Macaca mulatta: one gene and its partners. The protein of the gene in region 2 interacts with the protein of the main gene of each other region in a biochemical or structural test. Links are inferred from orthologs where the notes say so. Each region holds a gene or a part of one and is shown on either strand. Other genes may lie near its edges.

Evidence for each region.
Region 1: the proteins of MAP3K7 (region 2) and USP29 form a complex in vitro, tested with the Homo sapiens proteins (2 studies listed by BioGRID). The link is inferred for Macaca mulatta from reciprocal best matches to the Homo sapiens genes MAP3K7 and USP29.
Region 3: of the proteins of MAP3K7 (region 2) and USP4, one has a biochemical effect on the other in vitro, tested with the Homo sapiens proteins (2 studies listed by BioGRID). The link is inferred for Macaca mulatta from reciprocal best matches to the Homo sapiens genes MAP3K7 and USP4.

The regions. Positions count from the first base shown.
Region 1 is NC_133424.1:69,336,865-69,341,991, forward strand, and holds part of USP29 (ubiquitin carboxyl-terminal hydrolase 29), read left to right. Parts: intron 1-2,139; 5' UTR 2,140-2,155; coding exon 2,156-4,894; 3' UTR 4,895-5,127.
Region 2 is NC_133409.1:95,418,666-95,424,787, reverse strand, and holds part of MAP3K7 (mitogen-activated protein kinase kinase kinase 7), read right to left. Parts: intron 6,082-6,122; coding exon 6,000-6,081; intron 3,718-5,999; coding exon 3,587-3,717; intron 2,932-3,586; coding exon 2,802-2,931; intron 179-2,801; coding exon 98-178; intron 1-97. UniProt on the Homo sapiens protein: Serine/threonine kinase which acts as an essential component of the MAP kinase signal transduction pathway. Plays an important role in the cascades of cellular responses evoked by changes in the environment.
Region 3 is NC_133407.1:112,740,816-112,746,937, reverse strand, and holds part of USP4 (ubiquitin carboxyl-terminal hydrolase 4), read left to right. Parts: intron 1-222; coding exon 223-396; exon of another isoform or gene 397-776; intron 777-959; exon of another isoform or gene 960-1,050; intron 1,051-3,983; coding exon 3,984-4,142; exon of another isoform or gene 4,143-4,319; intron 4,320-5,804; coding exon 5,805-6,029; exon of another isoform or gene 6,030-6,122.

The DNA.
Region 1 (5,127 bases), on a different chromosome or scaffold from region 2:
AGTCTCTGATATCCTTTCTTCCACTTGATCGATTTGGCTATTGATACTTGTGTATGCTTCACAAAGTTCTCTTGCTGTGTTTTTCAGCTCCATAGGTCATTTATGTTCCTCTCTAAACTGGTTATTCTAATTAACAATTCCTGTAGCATTTTATCAAGGTTCTTAGCTTCCTTGCATTGGGTTAGAACATGCTCCTTTAGCTCAGAGGAGTTTGTTATTACCCACCTTCTGAAGCCTACTTCTATCAATTCGTCAATCTCATTCTCCATCCAGTTTTGTGCCCTCCTTGGAGAGGAATTGGCGATCATTTGGAGAAGAGACATTCTGTTTTTTGGATTTTTCAGCGTTTTTGTGCTGGTTTTTCCTCATCTTCGTGGATTTATCTACCGTTGATCTTTGAGGCTGATGACCTTTGGATGGGGTTATTGTGTGGGGGTCTTTTTTGTTCATGATGTTGTTGCTTTCTGTTTGTTAGTTTCTCTTCTAACAGTCAGGCCCCTCTTCTGCAGGTCTGCTGCAGTTTGCTGGGGGTCCACTCCAGACTCTGTACACTTGGGCATCACCAGTGGAGGCTGCAGAACAGCAAAGATTGCTGCCTGTTCCTTCCTCTGGAAGCTTTGTCCCAGAGGGGCACCAGCCTGATGCCAGCCAGAGCTCTCCTGTGTGAGGTGTCTGTCAACCCCTGTTGGGAGGTGTCTTCCCAGTTAGGAGGCACGGGCATCAGGGCCCCTCTTGAGGAGGCAGCCTGTCCCTTAGCAGAGCTGTTGTGCTGGGAAATCCCTCTTATCAGGATCAGTTGCTCTCTTCAGAGCCACCAGGTGGGAAAGATTAAATCTGCTGAAGCTGTGTGCCCACAGCCACCCCTTCCCCAGCTGCTCTATCCCAGGGAGATGGGGATTTTATCTGTAAGCCCCTGACTGGGACTGTTACCCTTCCTTCAGAGATGTCCCGCCCAGTGAGTAGGAATCTAGAGAAGCAGTCTGGCCACAGCTGCTTTGCCACGCTGTGGTGAATTTTGCCCAGTCCAAACCTCTCACCCTCCTTAGTACTGTCCAGGGAAAAGTGTCTACTAAAGCCTCAATAATCACGGATGCCCCTCCCCCAACCAAGCTCCATCATTCCAGGTCAACTTCAGACTGCTGCACTGGCAGAGTTTCAAGCCAGCGGTTCTTAGCTTGCTGGGCTCTGTGGGAGTGGGACCTGCTGAGTGAGACCACTTGGACCCCTGGCTTCAGTCCCCTTTCCAGGGGAGTGAATGGTTCTGTCTCACTGGGGTTTCAGGCACCACTGGGGTACAAAAAAAAAAAAAAAAACTCCTGCAGCTAGCTCGGTGTCTGCCCAAACAACTGGCCAGTTTTGTGCTTGAAACCCAGGGCCCTGGTGGTGTAGGTACACAAGGGAATCTCCTGATCTGCAGATTGCAAAAACCGTGGGAAAAGCGTAGTATCCGGGCCAAGTAGCACAGTTCCTCACGGCTTCCCTTGGCTGGGGGAGGGAGGTCCCCGGCTCCTTGCACGTCCCAGGTGAGGCAATGCCCCACCCTGCTTCTGCTCACCCTCTGTGGGTTGCACCCGCTGCCTAACCAGTCCCAGTGAGATGAACCGGGTACCGCAGTTGGAAACGCAGAAGTCGCCCCCCTTCTGCGTTGGTCTTGCTGGGAGCTGAGACCGGAGCTGTTCCTATTTGGCCATCTTGGCCCCTCCCCTTTTTTAAATTTAAAAAAGTTTATGTAGCGATGAGGTCTCCCTATGTTGCCATGCTGGTTTTGAACTTCTGGCCTCAAGTGATCCTTCCACCTTGGCCTCCCAGAGTGCTAGGATTACAGGCATGAGCCACCATGTCCAACCAAATTTGTATTTTCTCGATGAGCAGTGATGTTGAACAGCTGTTCATCTCTCTGTTGGCCATTTGTATCTTCTTTCTCGTCTAACAGCTCCCTTGAAAGAGTGTGTGCCCTCAGTCTATGTCTTCTACAGAACTGGCGTAGCTTCAGAATACGAGCAGTTCCCCAAAAGAGTGTTTTACTTAGAGCATAAGAAGACGAAAAATAAATCATTATTATATGTGGATGAGGTTTTTCATAAAATATAACTGTTAATATATTTTTGGTTAAAATGCATGTGTGCTTTTCTTCTTTAGGTTACATAAAGAAAGGATGATATCTCTAAAGGTACGTGGATTCATCCAGATTTGGAGCCAGAGGACTGGGATGACTAAGTTGAAAGAAGCTCTCATTGAAACAGTGCAAAGAAAAAAGGAAATTAAACTGGTGGTCACTTTCAAATCTGGAAAATTTATAAGAATTTTTCAGCTGAGTAATAACATTAGAAGTGTGGTCCTTAGACATTGTAAAAAAAGACAAAGTCACCTGCGTTTAACTTTGAAAAACAATGTGTTCTTGTTTATTGACAAATTATCCTACAGAGATGCTAAACAGTTGAATATGTTCCTGGACATAATACATCAAAACAAATTTCAGCAACCCGTGAAACCTGATGATGATTGGAGTGTGTTTGAAAGCAGGAATGTGCTGAAGGAAATTGACAAAACTTCATTTTACGGGATTTGTAACAAGCCAAGTTATCAGAAGATGCCTTTGTTTATGTCAAAATCACCAACACATGTGAAAAAAGGGTTATTAGAAAATCAAGGTGGGAAGGAGAAAAACCCACTAGCATCTGGTCTACAGATGAATGAGGACATTCTGAAGGAACATAACCCTGTACCAAACAAGAAATATAAGACAGATTCCTTGAAATATATACAAAGCAATAGGAAGAACCCATCAAGTTTAGAGGATTTAGAAAAAGCTAGCGATTTGAAACTCGGGCCTTCATTCAAGACCAACTCTAATGGACATCCTAACCTAGATGAGACTGTTCTTGCAACCCAGACTCTCGATGCCAAAAATGGTTTGACATTTCCATTAGAACCAGCGCACAGCCAGGATGACCCGAGATGCAACGAAGCCCAGGTGCCTCTTGACTCTCATTCAGAGCAACTGCAGCAAGGGTTCCCCAATTTGGGAAACACCTGTTACATGAATGCAATTTTACAATCGCTGTTTGCAATTCCGTCTTTTGCTGATGACTTACTCACTCAAGATGTCCCATGGGAATATATTCCCTTTGAGGCTCTTATTATGACCTTGACCCAGCTGCTTGCTTTGAAAGATTTCTGTAGTACAGAGATCAAGAGAGAATTACTTGGGAATGTTAAAAAAGTCATTTCAGCAGTTGCAGAAATATTTTCTGGCAACATGCAGAATGATGCGCATGAGTTTTTAGGTCAGTGTTTAGACCAGCTGAAAGAAGACATGGAGAACTTAAATGCCATTTTGAATACTGGGAAAAAATGCGGGGATGAAAATTCATCTCCACAAATGCATGTTGGTAGTGCTGCCACCAAAGTGTTTGTTTGTCCTGTTGTTGCTAATTTTGAGTTTGAATTGCAGCTCTCCATTGTCTGTAAAGCCTGTGGTCATGCGGTTCTCAAGGTAGAACCTAACAATTATCTCTCCATCAACCTGCACCAAGAAACAAAACCACTTCCTTTGTCCATTCAGAATTCTTTAGATCTTTTCTTTAGAGAAGAAGAGCTTGAGTATAACTGTGAGATGTGTAAGCACAAGAGTTGTGTTGCAAGGCATACATTTAGTAGGCTCTCCAGGGTCCTTATCGTTCATCTGAAACGCTATAGCTTCAACAATGCTTGGTTGCTGGTGAAGAATAACGAGCAAGTTTATATTCCCAAATATTTAAGCTTATCTTCTTATTGCAATGAAAGCACCAAACCACCTCTTCCCTTGAGCAGTAATGCACCTGTTGGGAAATGTGAAGTCCTGGAAGTCTCTCAGGAGATGATTTCTGAGATCACCAGCCCATTGACACCATCAATGAAGCTGACCTCAGAATCCAGTGATTCCCTGGTTCTACCCGTTGAACCAGAGAAGAATGCCGACCTACAAAGATCCCAGAGAGACTGTGGAGAAGAAAGCCAAGAGCAGCATCAGGGAGACCTGGAAAATGGTTCTGCACTAGAGTCAGAATTGGTCCACTTTAGAGATAGGGCAATAAGTGAACAGGAGCTTCCAGTGGCTGACTCACTGATGGACCAGGAAGACATTTCTCTTCCTGTGATATGTGAAGATGGAGGGAAGCCGATCAGCAGCCCAGACACAAGGCTTGTCGAGGTTCATCTTCAAGAAGTGCCTCAACATCCAGAACTTCAGAAGTATGAGAAAACCAATACATTCGTAGAGTTTGATTTTGACAGTGTCATGGAGTCTACCAATGGCTTTTATGAGTGTAAAGAAAACAGGATTCCAGAAGGATCTCAAGGAATGACTGAACAGTTCCAGCAGTGTTTTGAGGAGAGCATCATAGAGGAATTTCTTCAGCAGGCACCACCTCCAGGTGTTAGGAAACTGGATGCCCAGGAACATGCAGAGGAGACCCCCAGTCAGTCTACAGAATTAAGACTTCAGCAGGCTGACCTGAACCACCTCGAGGCATTGGGTTGTGATAACCCAGGAAACAAAAACATTTTAGATACAGAGAACACAAGAGGTGAAGCCAAGGAACTGACAAGAAACGTGAAGATGGGGGATCCTCTCCAGGCCTACAGACTCATCAGTGTTGTCAGCCACATTGGGAGCTCCCCAAATTCAGGCCATTACATCAGCGATGTGTATGACTTTCAGAAGCAGGCCTGGTTCACATACAACGATCTACGTGTATCAGAAATCTCAGAGACCAAAATGCAGGAGGCGAGGCTTCACTCTGGGTATATCTTCTTCTACATGCACAATGGGATTTTTGAGGAGCTTTTAAGAAAGGCAGAGAACTCTCGGCTACTTAGCACACAGGCAGGAGTGATCCCTCAGGGGGAATAAGACGACTCTTTGTACAGAGCTGCTTGGCAAACTCACTCGGCCTCACTTCATCCTTGCAAGAAGAATCCTGTACTTCACTCAGAATGAAGGAACAAGTATCTCAGGATGAAAGCTCAATGAAAAACACTTATTTTGGGGTATATCTATTTTAACTGCTTCAGACACCTAGATCCCAGAACTCAGGTGCATATGCATATTTTCCCTACAAGATTAGAATGGTGCTCTTCATGTGT
Region 2 (6,122 bases):
TGTCCTGTAAAAATTGGAGCAAGAAGCATTTTACAAGTACCAGGGATCATTATTCTGGTTCCACAGTTATTAGACCAACTCAGGTGGTCTGTGATACCTGATATGACGATCTCAGGGACATCCAGAATGTTGCCAAATGAAGCGGTTTTACGGTGGCCCCGTTTAGGCTTGGAATAGGCTGCAAAAACACATATATACAGTATACATGCAAACAACCACAAACAGTAACACAGAAAATGATTAACTACAAAAATAGACTCATTTTCAAATAGTTCATGTTAATAACATTTCATGCAGAATGGCATGCAGAACTACCTAACTTTTCATCCATGCTCAGAAAAGGCGAGATTAAAGAGCAAACAACTACCAAACACAAGATGTCTTACACACTGGTTTTAATCAGCAGAAAAAATAAAAAGAACAGAGACAAAGCTGCAGGGTAATGAGGAAGCAAAATTTCAAATATATTCATAGAAACACTCTACCTAAGTGAAATCACTGATATGTGATGGGGGTGGGGGAACGAAGGAGGAAAGGAAGAAAGGCATTAAAAAGTAAGTAGTCATATTTGTTTTAATTACACAAACAGGAATATATGTTCAAGTTAGGTGATTCTTGAAGTGTGCTATAAAGTAAAATTCAATGATTAAATACTAATTATTGAATCAAAGTGTGAAATGTATATACTTTTGTAATCATACATATTTCTAGTAAACCAAATATTTATTATATTTTCCAAAGTTTAGGGTACATTCACAGTAAACACAAAGTCTGTCAAAAGGCTGGAAAGTATGAATCTTTCCAAGTAAGACAATTCATGAAAAAATACAAATTGTGTAAAGCTCAAAGGATGTACAATAGCATTTGTTCTACATTTAGGCAAAAAAAGATAGGGTAATTTTAATGTGTGTGGTTATCCTTCTTGCAAAGTCATTTCTGTAAATAATAATAAAAAACCAGTGCTTGACTAGAAATATGATACCAGCAAAGACATGAAACCATTATTATAACAATTTTCAGTTTTGAGACAGCAATCAGAATGTGGCAGATCTATCCTTAATAACATGCCTGAAGTGAAAAGGGTTCCTCAAAGCGTGAGGGTATGTCCCTGTGAGTAGGGTTCATCTGACACTACAGTGAGACAACCCTGCTCCGAAGAAATACTTGTGATTCATGGAGACTCTGGGCTTGTCAGTGGCTGGTGACTTCTCAACTTGATAGTTTCTGAAGATCCATCTGTGGCAGACACAGCTATCTTCTGCCGGTCTCTACTCTTCCCTTCTGTTTTAGCAATAGTACTCTGATTTTATTTAGGACAGAAAAGTCATCAGATAAAAGAGGGCAGATCTCCTCTTCCCTTGGAGCTACGTGTAGCCATTCGACCATGTTACTCTGACCAATGACGTGTGGACATTGTTAGGAAAGGCATCTGGGAATGTTCCTTCAAAGAACTTGGATGCCTATTTGCCCTACCCCCATGTCTTCCTTCCTGCTGCCTGGAATGTAGAAGTGATGAAAGGGAACTTTAACAACCATTTTGGAGCACAGGATAACTTTGAGAATGGAAGCTATACAATAGGGATTACGGCACAGAAATAGGAGACCAGTTACTTCAAGATCACAGAGCCCACTACCTTCAGACTTGTTTATGTCTGAAAAATAATGCTTATGTGTTATAGACACTGTTATTTTGGAAATCTGTTATATCTAATGGATTCTAATACTAGCTGATAAAAATCAATGATCATGATTAGTTGAAGACAAGTATAGTATGATGGTCCATCTTGACAACTTCTTTCTGAAAGAGCTCCACACACAATAAGAATATTCTATTTAGAAAAAAACCAAATAAGTGAAAAAAATACCTAAAAAATTGGTTAGCTAAGTTAAAAAAGATGCAAATACACATAGAAATACACATTTATACGTATATATATAGTTAAAAGACTGGGGTAAATACACAAAAATGTTAAGTGTTTATCTCTGAGTGGGGTAATTATGTAAGTTTTTTTGGCTTGTTTACATTTCCACATTTTCCACAACAGAAATGTGTTTACTTTTAAAATCAGCTCCCCCCAATCCCTGGAAGGAATCAGCAAAAAACAACGAAGTCCAAACTAAACCAGCATTACTAAAATGAAACCTGGTCAGAAAATTAGGTTGCCAGTTTACTTAGGTAACAAAACATGTAATTGTTTTTGTGCTGACCAGTTCTTCCATGATTAATAATTTTAAGAACTGAACAATGGAATTTAAATGCTAGCTTTTCCAAGATCCAATAAAATTATGATCTTTTACTTTACAATTAAAAAAATTAACCATAACCAGCTTAGCTAATATTTTGTCACTGGAATGAAGGAGCAGATAGAAGGTCAAATCATACGTGGATCTGGAATACATTTTTCTGTTAAATTTGAAACAAAATATTTGCTATTATTAGAGTTCAGCACAAAAATCTAGTAGTATCACTCAAAATCCCCAAAATATTCCGGTTTTGGCAGAATTTCTCACTCAGACTTTCAACTCATGTTTGAGCAGAAAGAATTACATTTGATAAAATCTGTAAATGAGGAAGGCATACTTTCTCATCCAAATAATTTTACAAGTCATACCTTCCTTATTTGGAATTTGAGATAAATGCAAAATTATTGCTAGTAACTTAGAAAAATATATTGTAAACCTACTTCCTATTTAAAAAAAAAAAAAAAAAGACACACACACAAAACCTCTGACAACTGAAACTACCATGGCCAAAAAGGCTTATATACATTTCACTCTTCAGACTTGTAGTTCCTTTTTACCTGTGGTTGCAGCGATCCTAGCTTCTATTTCAGACATGTCAGCACTCATCCTCTTTCCCTCAGAGGTTGGGGGCAAGCTCTCCACACTGCTCCCACGGGAGGCTCCCAAGCTTAAACGTCCAGATTCACTCTGTTAAAATTACAGGTCAATCTGAATTACTGAAGTTCTTTAGATTTAGCAGTCTTAGGCAACCTAAAAGGAGGAAGATGGCAAGTAGGATTCTGATGGATCCTGTTCTGCTCTGAAAGGAGAGGGAAGTTTGCACGAGAGGGAGCTACAGCAGTAAGGGAAAGCAAGCTGCAGATACTGTTTTTATGAAAGAGTAGTCACTAGAACTGGGGCTAAAAGCCCCAATTATTCATTAACCTAAATGCCTCAGGCAAAATGAATAAACTCACTCCTTACAATATTTTTAAAAATCAACAACGGCAAAAATATAAATCTGAATAGCATGAAATGATACACTTAGGACAACTCCTCTAACTGGGCAGCACAGCCAAAATATATCCGTTTTACATTTTTAACCATCAACCATTACATTTAAGGATTATTATAGATAGGGAGTTAGAGTTGGCAAAGGTAGCAATCATTAGAAGGAAAAACCATTTGGTAATAAATGGTAGGAGACTCTCATTACAAGTCTCTATTTGTAAGCTCTTCTATATGTTTCAGGAAGAAAATTCAGGATTTATAAAATAGAAGATGGTAAATAATTAATTTCATTTAGTATAATATTGTGACTACTGTTAAGGTTACCAATTTTACTTGTAATAACAAAACAAACCTGTTGCTTTGCCTGATTTTTCAACAATTTTGACTCTAAGCGCTTAATAGTATCATTTGTAGCAGGAACTTGCTCCATATTAGTGTCACTTTTATTACTCGTATTTGTAGAAGCAATGTCCATGAATGAGCCTAGGAAAAGCAGAAACATTTATGACTACTGGTTGGAAATAATAAAAATGCTTCACTTAGTATTATGTAACTTACATTCTTTTATAAACTAGCCAGGCAGGAACAGAAATAAGACTTTTCAAGCTAATGAAGATATCCAAACAAACCCATTTTAAGCAAAACTTAAGGCTAGCACAAAAAGGAACCAAGATGCCTAAATAGTCTTCTAATAGTCAAGAATAACTTAAGGTTTTTAACCTGAGCTAGTAGAAGAACTGAGGGCTATTAATTGAGATGGGGAAAGACTACAGGAAGATTGAGTTTGAAGGAAGTATCAGGAACTCTGTTTGGAAAATATTGAGTTTCTAGTAGATGTATAGAAAGTAGTTGGATATATGAGTATAGAGTTCAGGTATAAGATGGAAAAAATTATGAGCCAGCAGATGGTATATAATGCCACAATACTGGATGAGGTTACCAAGGAAATGAGTGCAGACAGATAAGTGAAGAAGCCAAATGACTGGGCCCTAGGCACTTCAACATTTCTAGGTTGGGGAGATGAGGAATAACCAGCAAAGAAAACTGAGAACAGATGGCCAGAGATGTAAGATGGAATCTAGGCTAGTATGGTATCTCAGAGGCCAACTGAATAAAGTGCTGTGTGTAAGAAGGAGAAAGTAATGAATTAGATCAAGTGCTACTGAGAGTCAAGATGAGAAATGAAAATGATTCCTTAAATGTAGTGATGTAGAGATAACTAGTGACCTTGACAAGAACAATTCTGAAGTACTGGCATAATATGTCTGAATGGAGTCGGCTCAAGAAAGAAGGGGAAAAGAGAAGCTAGAGAATGCAAATACAGACTACGTATGTTCTAGGAATGATCCAGTAGAAAGTTAAAGCTGATGATGCAAGAGAGAGAGGAGAATTGCTCAGAAAAGTAGATGGGATATAATGCAGATGGGATATAATGCACAGGCAGAAAGGTACACCTTTGGCCAGAAGTATGGATAGTTCAGCCAGAGTAACAGAAGAAGGCAGAGTAGATGGGCACAGATGTTGTGGAAGCTGTCTTCTGATTACTCCACTTTTCTCAGATGAAGGGCAAACAAAATCAGCTGAGAGTGAGGAGTGGTGAGGAGGTGTTTGAAGCCCGAGGAGAGGCTACAGTATAAAATTAAGATATATAGGAGGAAAGAGATGAACTACAATATAGTACAACTGTCCAATAGCACTAAACATGCATGTGAGGATATCTCCAGCCATACTCAGCTGCACTGGTACAGGCAAGGGGTAACCCGAGTGTTAGCTTTTATTAGGCTTGTGGTTTAGCCAAGCAAGCTTGAGAGAGAGGCTAGAAAGATGAAAATTATTCCCAAAGGAATTATAATAGTTGATTGGAATTAAGTGGAGGGAGAAATAAAAAAGGACCTAAGAGGACTGAGGACCAGTGAAAAGGTGGGAGGCTAAAAAACCTCAAGGTCACAGTAAGGAAACGAAGAGAGGGTTTGGAGGACGTGGGAGATGCAAATTATAGAATTTTAGAGAAGTACATTTTAGAATTCAGAGCAACTCAAAATATTTTCAGTAAAACTGGAATTTGAGAATAACTAGCCAAACCATAAACCATCTCAAAATAAATAAAACTATTCTTGAGGTGGGAGAAATAGATCAGTAAAAGTATTCGTCAATAAATGCAGGGTAAATACATATGCATATAGACACACATGTAGTTTTTAGTTTTAATTAATAATGAAATGCTTATAATGCCACTATATTTTGAGAAGTACAATATTTCTAAGTTACAGTATTATTTCTACTATCTTTTTGATGACCACAAATTACATGTCCCACTACTACTTCACATTTCGGAAAACTAAGGAACTTTTAACATAGCTTCTTAAATCACAGTCTCTGTAGAAAAGAACAAAAATTAGGGTGTTCATGATGAAGAAATGTGTTAAATACATTTACAATAATTTCTAATACCACTTGATCTAGTAGTATCCATTTAAAAGTTATCTTTAAAGTTAAGAATGACATTTACTGCAATACAATATGCCATCTTTTTATTCATAATTATGTAGGAATTCCAAGACTTGGAAGCAGGTCTTCAATAACTCTTTAATCAGGGTATCTTCATGAAGAATGATGCACCTGTAAACTTAAATTGCAGTCAATCATATGAAATGAAGGAATTAAAATGCAAATGGGGACATTATTCATTACTTCTTGATTATAATTTCACGGGAATAGAGACGAAAGAAAAATCGAGTCGATACTCTTCCAATCTATCCATTTACCTGTACTGGTGGCAGAGTTGCTCTGTCCTTCATCTGAATACTGACAAGGATACTGTAATGGCTCATCTGCTCCTGGAAAGTACTATATATAAAAAAGTAAACCACAGCTTAAAATTTCCTTAA
Region 3 (6,122 bases), on a different chromosome or scaffold from region 2:
GCAATCCTCTAAGACCACGTCCCTCAGAGATTAGCTGCGAGGGGTCCACCAGCTTGACCTCCTTGAGGCTGTGCTTTACTGTCCGTCATGAGCCTTCAGAGAATCTCCTGAGTGCCTCATTTTGTTGGGGTTGTCCCTCAGTGACCCTTTAGAACTTGATTTATCTTGTATCTCTGGTACTGTCTAGAAGGTATGTAAAGCCCTCATCATGTTCTGTTTCAGTGCTTGAGCAACACTGCACCACTGACTGACTACTTTCTCAAAGATGAGTATGAAGCCGAAATCAACAGAGACAACCCTCTGGGGATGAAAGGGGAAATTGCAGAAGCCTATGCAGAGCTCATTAAGCAGATGTGGTCTGGAAGGGATGCCCATGTGGCACCTCGCATGTTCAAAGTAGGTAGACATATATATATATACAGGTTGAGTATCTCTGTATATAGATGCTTGGGACCAGAAATGTTTTGGGACTTCAGGTTTTTTAGGGTTTTTTTTTTTTTACAGTATTTCCATTACGCTTACTAGTTCAGCATCCCCATTCCAAAATCTAAAATGTTTCAATGAGCATTTCCTTTGAATATCGTGTCAGTGTTAGAAAGGTTATGGATCTTTGAGCATTTGGATTTCAGATTTTCGGGTAAAGGATACACTCCTGTACTTCCTTTTTCCCACTTTGGGGAGAGTGGTTTAGTGTTGTTATGAGGCATTCCTTTTGTTGCATTTTGGGATTAAGATGGGATCTGGGCCAGGCGCTGTGGCTCACGCCTATAATCCCAGCACTTTGGGAGGCCGAGGCAGGTGGATCACTAGGTCAAGAGATTGAGACCATCCTGGCCAACATGGTGAAGCCCCGTCTCTACTAAAAATACAAAAAGTAGCTAGGCGTGGTGGCGCATGCCTGTAGTCCCAGCTACTTGGGAGACTGAGGCAGGAGAATCACTTGAACCTGGGAGGTGGAGGTTGCAGTGAGCTGAGATTGCGCCACTGCAGTCCAACCTGGTGGCAGAGTAAGACTCCGTCTCCAAAAAAAAAAAAAAAAAAAAAAAAAGATGGGATCTGATGACCAGTCACGATGGCTCACGCCTGTAATCTCAGCACTTTGGGGGGCCAAGGTGGGTGGATCACCTGAGGTCAGGAGTTCAAGACCAGCCTGGCTAACATGGTGAAACCCCTTCTCTACTAAAAATACAAAAATTAGCTGGGCATGGTGGTGCACACTTGTAATCCCAGCTACGTGGGAGGCTGAGGCAGGAGAATTGCTTGAACCTGGGAGATGCAGATTGCAGTGAGCCAAGATCACACCACTGCACTCCAGCCTAGGCAACAGAGCAAGACTCCATCTCAAAAAAAAAAAAAAAAAAAAAAAAAAGATGGAATCTGAGACTAAAAGTACCACATTGTCAAACCCTTTTTTTCCTGTCATTCAGTCATTTAGCACACCCCTAAGTGTCTTCACTGCCCACCTCTGGGTTGGGGATGTCTCAGAAGTTATTTGTAAGCTGATTCCTCAGAATGCTGTATTCTGTGATGGCAGTATTTAAATGGTCAGTTTCCTAAGCCAGACTATAAAAATTCAGTTTCTTGGAAGGCTGAGGTGGGAGGATCCCTGGAGCCCAGGAGTTTGAGACCCGCCTGGGCAACATAGTGAGACTCCGTTTTTGTTTTGTTTTGTTTGAGACAGAGTCTGACTCTCTTCTTGCCCAGGTTGGAGTGCAGTGGCACGATCTTGGCTCACTGCAGCCTACACCTCCCGGGTTCAAGCGATTCTCATGCCTTAGCCTCCTGAGTAGCTGAGACTACAGGTGTGCACCACCATGCCTGGCTAATTTTAGTATTTTTAGTAGAGATGGGGTTTCGCCATGTTGACCAGGCTGGTCTCAAACTCCTGATCTCAGGGGATCTGCCTGCCCCAGCCTCTCAAAGTGCTGGGATTATAGGCATGAGCCACTGCGCCTGATCAAGTCTCTGTTTCTTTAAAAACAACAAAAAAGTTGGCCAGGCGCAGTGGCTCACGCCTGTAATCCCAGCACTTTGGGAGGCCGAGGCGGGCAGATCACGAAGTCAGGAGATCGAGACCATCCTGGCTAATATGGTGAAACCCTGTCTCTGCTAAAAATACAAAAAAAAAAAAAAAAAAATTAGCCAGGTGTGATGGCAGGCGCCTGTAGTCCCAGCTGCTCGGGAGGCTGAGGCAGGAGAATAGCATGAACCCGGGAGGCAGAGCTTGCAGTGAGCCGAGATCGTGCCTCTGCACTCCAGCCTGGGTGACAGAACGAGACTCCATCTCAAAGAAAAAACAACAACAACAAAAAAAGTCCGGGCATGGTGGCTCGTTCCTGTAATCCAGCACTTTGGGAGGCTGAGGTGGGCAGATCACGAGGTCAGGAGTTTGAGATCAGCCTGACCAACATAATGAAACCTCGTCTCTACTGAAAATACAAAAATTAGCCAGGTGTGATGGTGCCCACCTGTAATTCCAGCTACTCAGGAGGCTGAGGCAGGAGAATTGCTTGAACCTGGGAGGTGGAGGTTGCAGTGAGCTGAGATCGCACCACTGCACTCCAGCCTGAGCAACAGAGCGAGACTCTGTCTCTAAAACAACAACAAAATTAGCTGGACATGGTGATGTACCTATAGTCCCAGCTACCAGGGAGGCTGAGGTGGGAGGAATTACTTAAGCCTGACAGGTCAAGGCTGCAGTGAGCTGTGATTGTGCCACTGTACTCCAGCCTTGGCGACACAGACCCTGTCCCAGAATAAAAAAATAAAAAAGAATTGGGTGGCAACACACTGTGCTGAAGCTAATGTAAATAAACAACTAGAAGGTAGTGTTTAGGGATATTAGGGAAGTGTGGAGCTTCCTCAGTGATGGATGTGTTATATATTTGTACTGTGTTATGGCAGCCACCAGCTCAAGCACCTCTGAGCACTTGAGATGTGGTTCATTTGACCAAGGAACTGAATTTTTAATGGTTTTTAATTGTAATTAATATAAATTTAGGTTGCCATATGTGGCTAGTGGCTATGGTATTAGAGAACAGGTGTAGAACAGTGGTGCTCCATTTTTTTTTTTTTTTTTTTTTTGAGACAGAGTCTTGCTCTGTCGCACAGGCTGGAGTGCACTGGCACGATTTTGGCTCACTGCAGCCTCCGCCTCCTGGGTTCAAGCAATTCTCCTGCCTCAGCCTCCCGTGTAGCTGGGATTACAGGTGTGCACCACCATGCCCAGCTAATTTTTGTATTTTTAGTAGAGACCAGGTTTCACCATGTTGGCCAGGCTGGTCTTGAACTCCCAACCTCAGGTGATCTGCCTGCCTCAGCCTCCCAAAATTCTGCGATTACAGGCGTGAGCCACCGTGCCTGGCTGGTTCTCCATAGGATACATCACAGTCTCTGGGAGTGCTTAATACAACATAGACTGCTAGACCCATCCGCAGAGTTTCTGATTGAATGGGTTTGCTGTGGGGGCCTGAGAATGTGCATTTCTACTAAGCTCCCAGGTGATACTAATGCTGCTGGCTAGGGACCATACTCTCAGAATAACTGGTGGAGAATAATACTGGACAGACAGTATTTAGGGACCTGAGGGCTGTTATGTACAGGAGGATTCCTCCAGCTGATGAAAGTATCGTTTGTAATGTCCTTATGGAGTTTAAGACTCTGAACCAAAGAAGGACATGTTGGAGAGGGATTCATGTCAGTACTTGGGTGTGGTTACTCAGGATACCCCACCCTTCCTCCCTAGGACTTAAGGTAGTGGCCCAGGTTCCAGATTCATCCTCCTGGCTCTCTGATCTAGGCCTTCTCTCTGGTGGGAACCACTGGCCTCCTGTAGGCTCTTCAGGAGTTAATTGGACTACTCAACCAAGTGTTCTCTCTCACTACCCAGCTAACTCCTCAAAGCTATTTTTGATGATAGTTCTCATTTGATTTAACTAGTTCTTTACATATTATGCCTTCTGATGCAGTTGCTTTTGTTGTAGACTCAAGTGGGACGTTTTGCTCCTCAATTTTCTGGCTACCAGCAACAAGATTCTCAGGAGCTGTTAGCCTTTCTTCTAGATGGATTGCATGAAGATCTGAACCGAGTAAAGAAGAAGCCCTACTTGGAGCTGAAGGATGCCAATGGGCGGCCAGACGCGGTATGCCATTAATGATGTCTGAACGAAGAAGCTGCCTCATATTGAGAGTGCAGGGATATTCTTCTGGTCTTTTGAGTGTTGCTGCCAGGGCCCTGGTTGCTTCTCACTGTAGCTAGTTATAGGTATATGGTCTCTGGTCAGAAAAGGGCTAACTGTAGTTACTGCTATTTTTTTTTTGTAATAGAGACAAAATCTTGCTATGTTGTCTAGGCTGGTCTCCAGCTCCTGAGCTTAAGCAGTCCTCTTACCTTAGCCTCCCAAAGTGCTGAGATTACAACAGGCGTGAGCCACTGTCCCCTAGTTACTCCTAATGCTTCCTCTTGGGCTTTTTCAAATTTGAGTGAGCTTGTTTGATATTTCACTGGTGAACTAGGGACTAAGAACACTCTGAAAACTGTAAAGTGCCTGTAGTGAGGACCCCTAAGATTGTTATCGCTCACAATAAAAGCTATCTATGATTACTTAATTTGTTATTAATATCATTAGGACATTTATACTTTTTACCTTGATTTTCTGATCAGTGCAAGAGGATTTTAGTATTTCAGCTGCCCTGTCACATTGGGATAATCAATATGAATGCTTTAAAGTAAAATTTAGATCTTCTTAGAAAAACTGTGAGTTAGCTGAACTGTAGTATAGATAAAATTATTAAAATTTATTTGTTTATTTTTTTGAGATGGAGTCTCACTCTGTCACCCAGGCTGGAGTGCAATGATGCGATCTCGCTCACTGCATCCTCCACCTCCCGGGTTCAAGCGATTCTCCTGTCTCAGCCTCTTGAGTAGCTGGGACTATAGCCATGTACCACCACACCCGGCAAATTTTTGTATTTTTAGTAGAGAGGGGATTTCACCATGTTGGCCAGGCTAATCTTGAACTCCTGACCTAAGGTGATCCATCTGCCTCGGCCTCTCAAAGTGCTGGGATTTCAGGCATGAGCCACTGTGCCCGGCCAAAAACTACTTTAGATCACTGGAAACATATAGGGGGACTTTCCTTGTCCTGGCCATGTATCTGTACCCATAGTGTCCTCCGGGTTCTGTTTCCTATCAGGACACACAAACCCCTAGTTTCCAATAGGTCCTATGATGCCAACCTTATTAAGTGTGGGGATTACAACGAGGCACAGTGGCTTACCCCTGCGGTTCCAGCACTTTGGAGGCTGAGGTGGGAGCATCACTTGAGGCCAGGAGCTCTAGAACCATCTGGTCAACATAGTAAAACCCCCATCCCTACCAAAACTAAAAAAACATTAGCCAGGCATGGTGGGGCGTGCCTATAGTCCTAGCTACTTGGGAGTCTGAGGCAGGAAGATCGCTTTGAGCCCAGGAGTTCGAGGCTGTAGTGAACCATGGTCGTGCCAGCCTGAGCGACAGAGCAAGACCATGTCTCAATCAATCAATATAATATATATTTGAAATATATATATAAACATATATATGAAATATATATATGTGTGTTGGGGTGGGGATTGGGTGTAGAGCTGGCATGTGGTATGAGTATGATACACTAAGAGTAGTCCTGGCCTTGCTTGTCCTGGATCAAGCTCTTGGCTGTACAGATTGCCGCCTGATTCATCTCCAGGTTTGCTGTGAGTCATTCTGGATGCAGGGGCAAGGGACTGAGTGGTGTTGAGAATGTCCTATTTATCCCTTCATGCAGGTGGTGGCAAAGGAAGCCTGGGAGAATCACAGGTTGAGGAATGATTCTGTGATTGTGGATACTTTCCATGGCCTCTTCAAATCTACTTTGGTTTGTCCAGAATGTGCTAAGGTTTCGGTGACCTTTGACCCATTTTGCTATCTAACGCTCCCACTGCCCTTGAAGAAAGATCGAGTTATGGAGGTTTTCCTGGTTCCTGCTGACCCTCACTGCAGACCTACCCAGGTAACAGAATCCACACCCTCATGGCACCCCTCACTGCAAGTGGTCTCCAGATCCCAGTGGGACTGCTCCTATCTGCTGCATTGGATGCCTCTG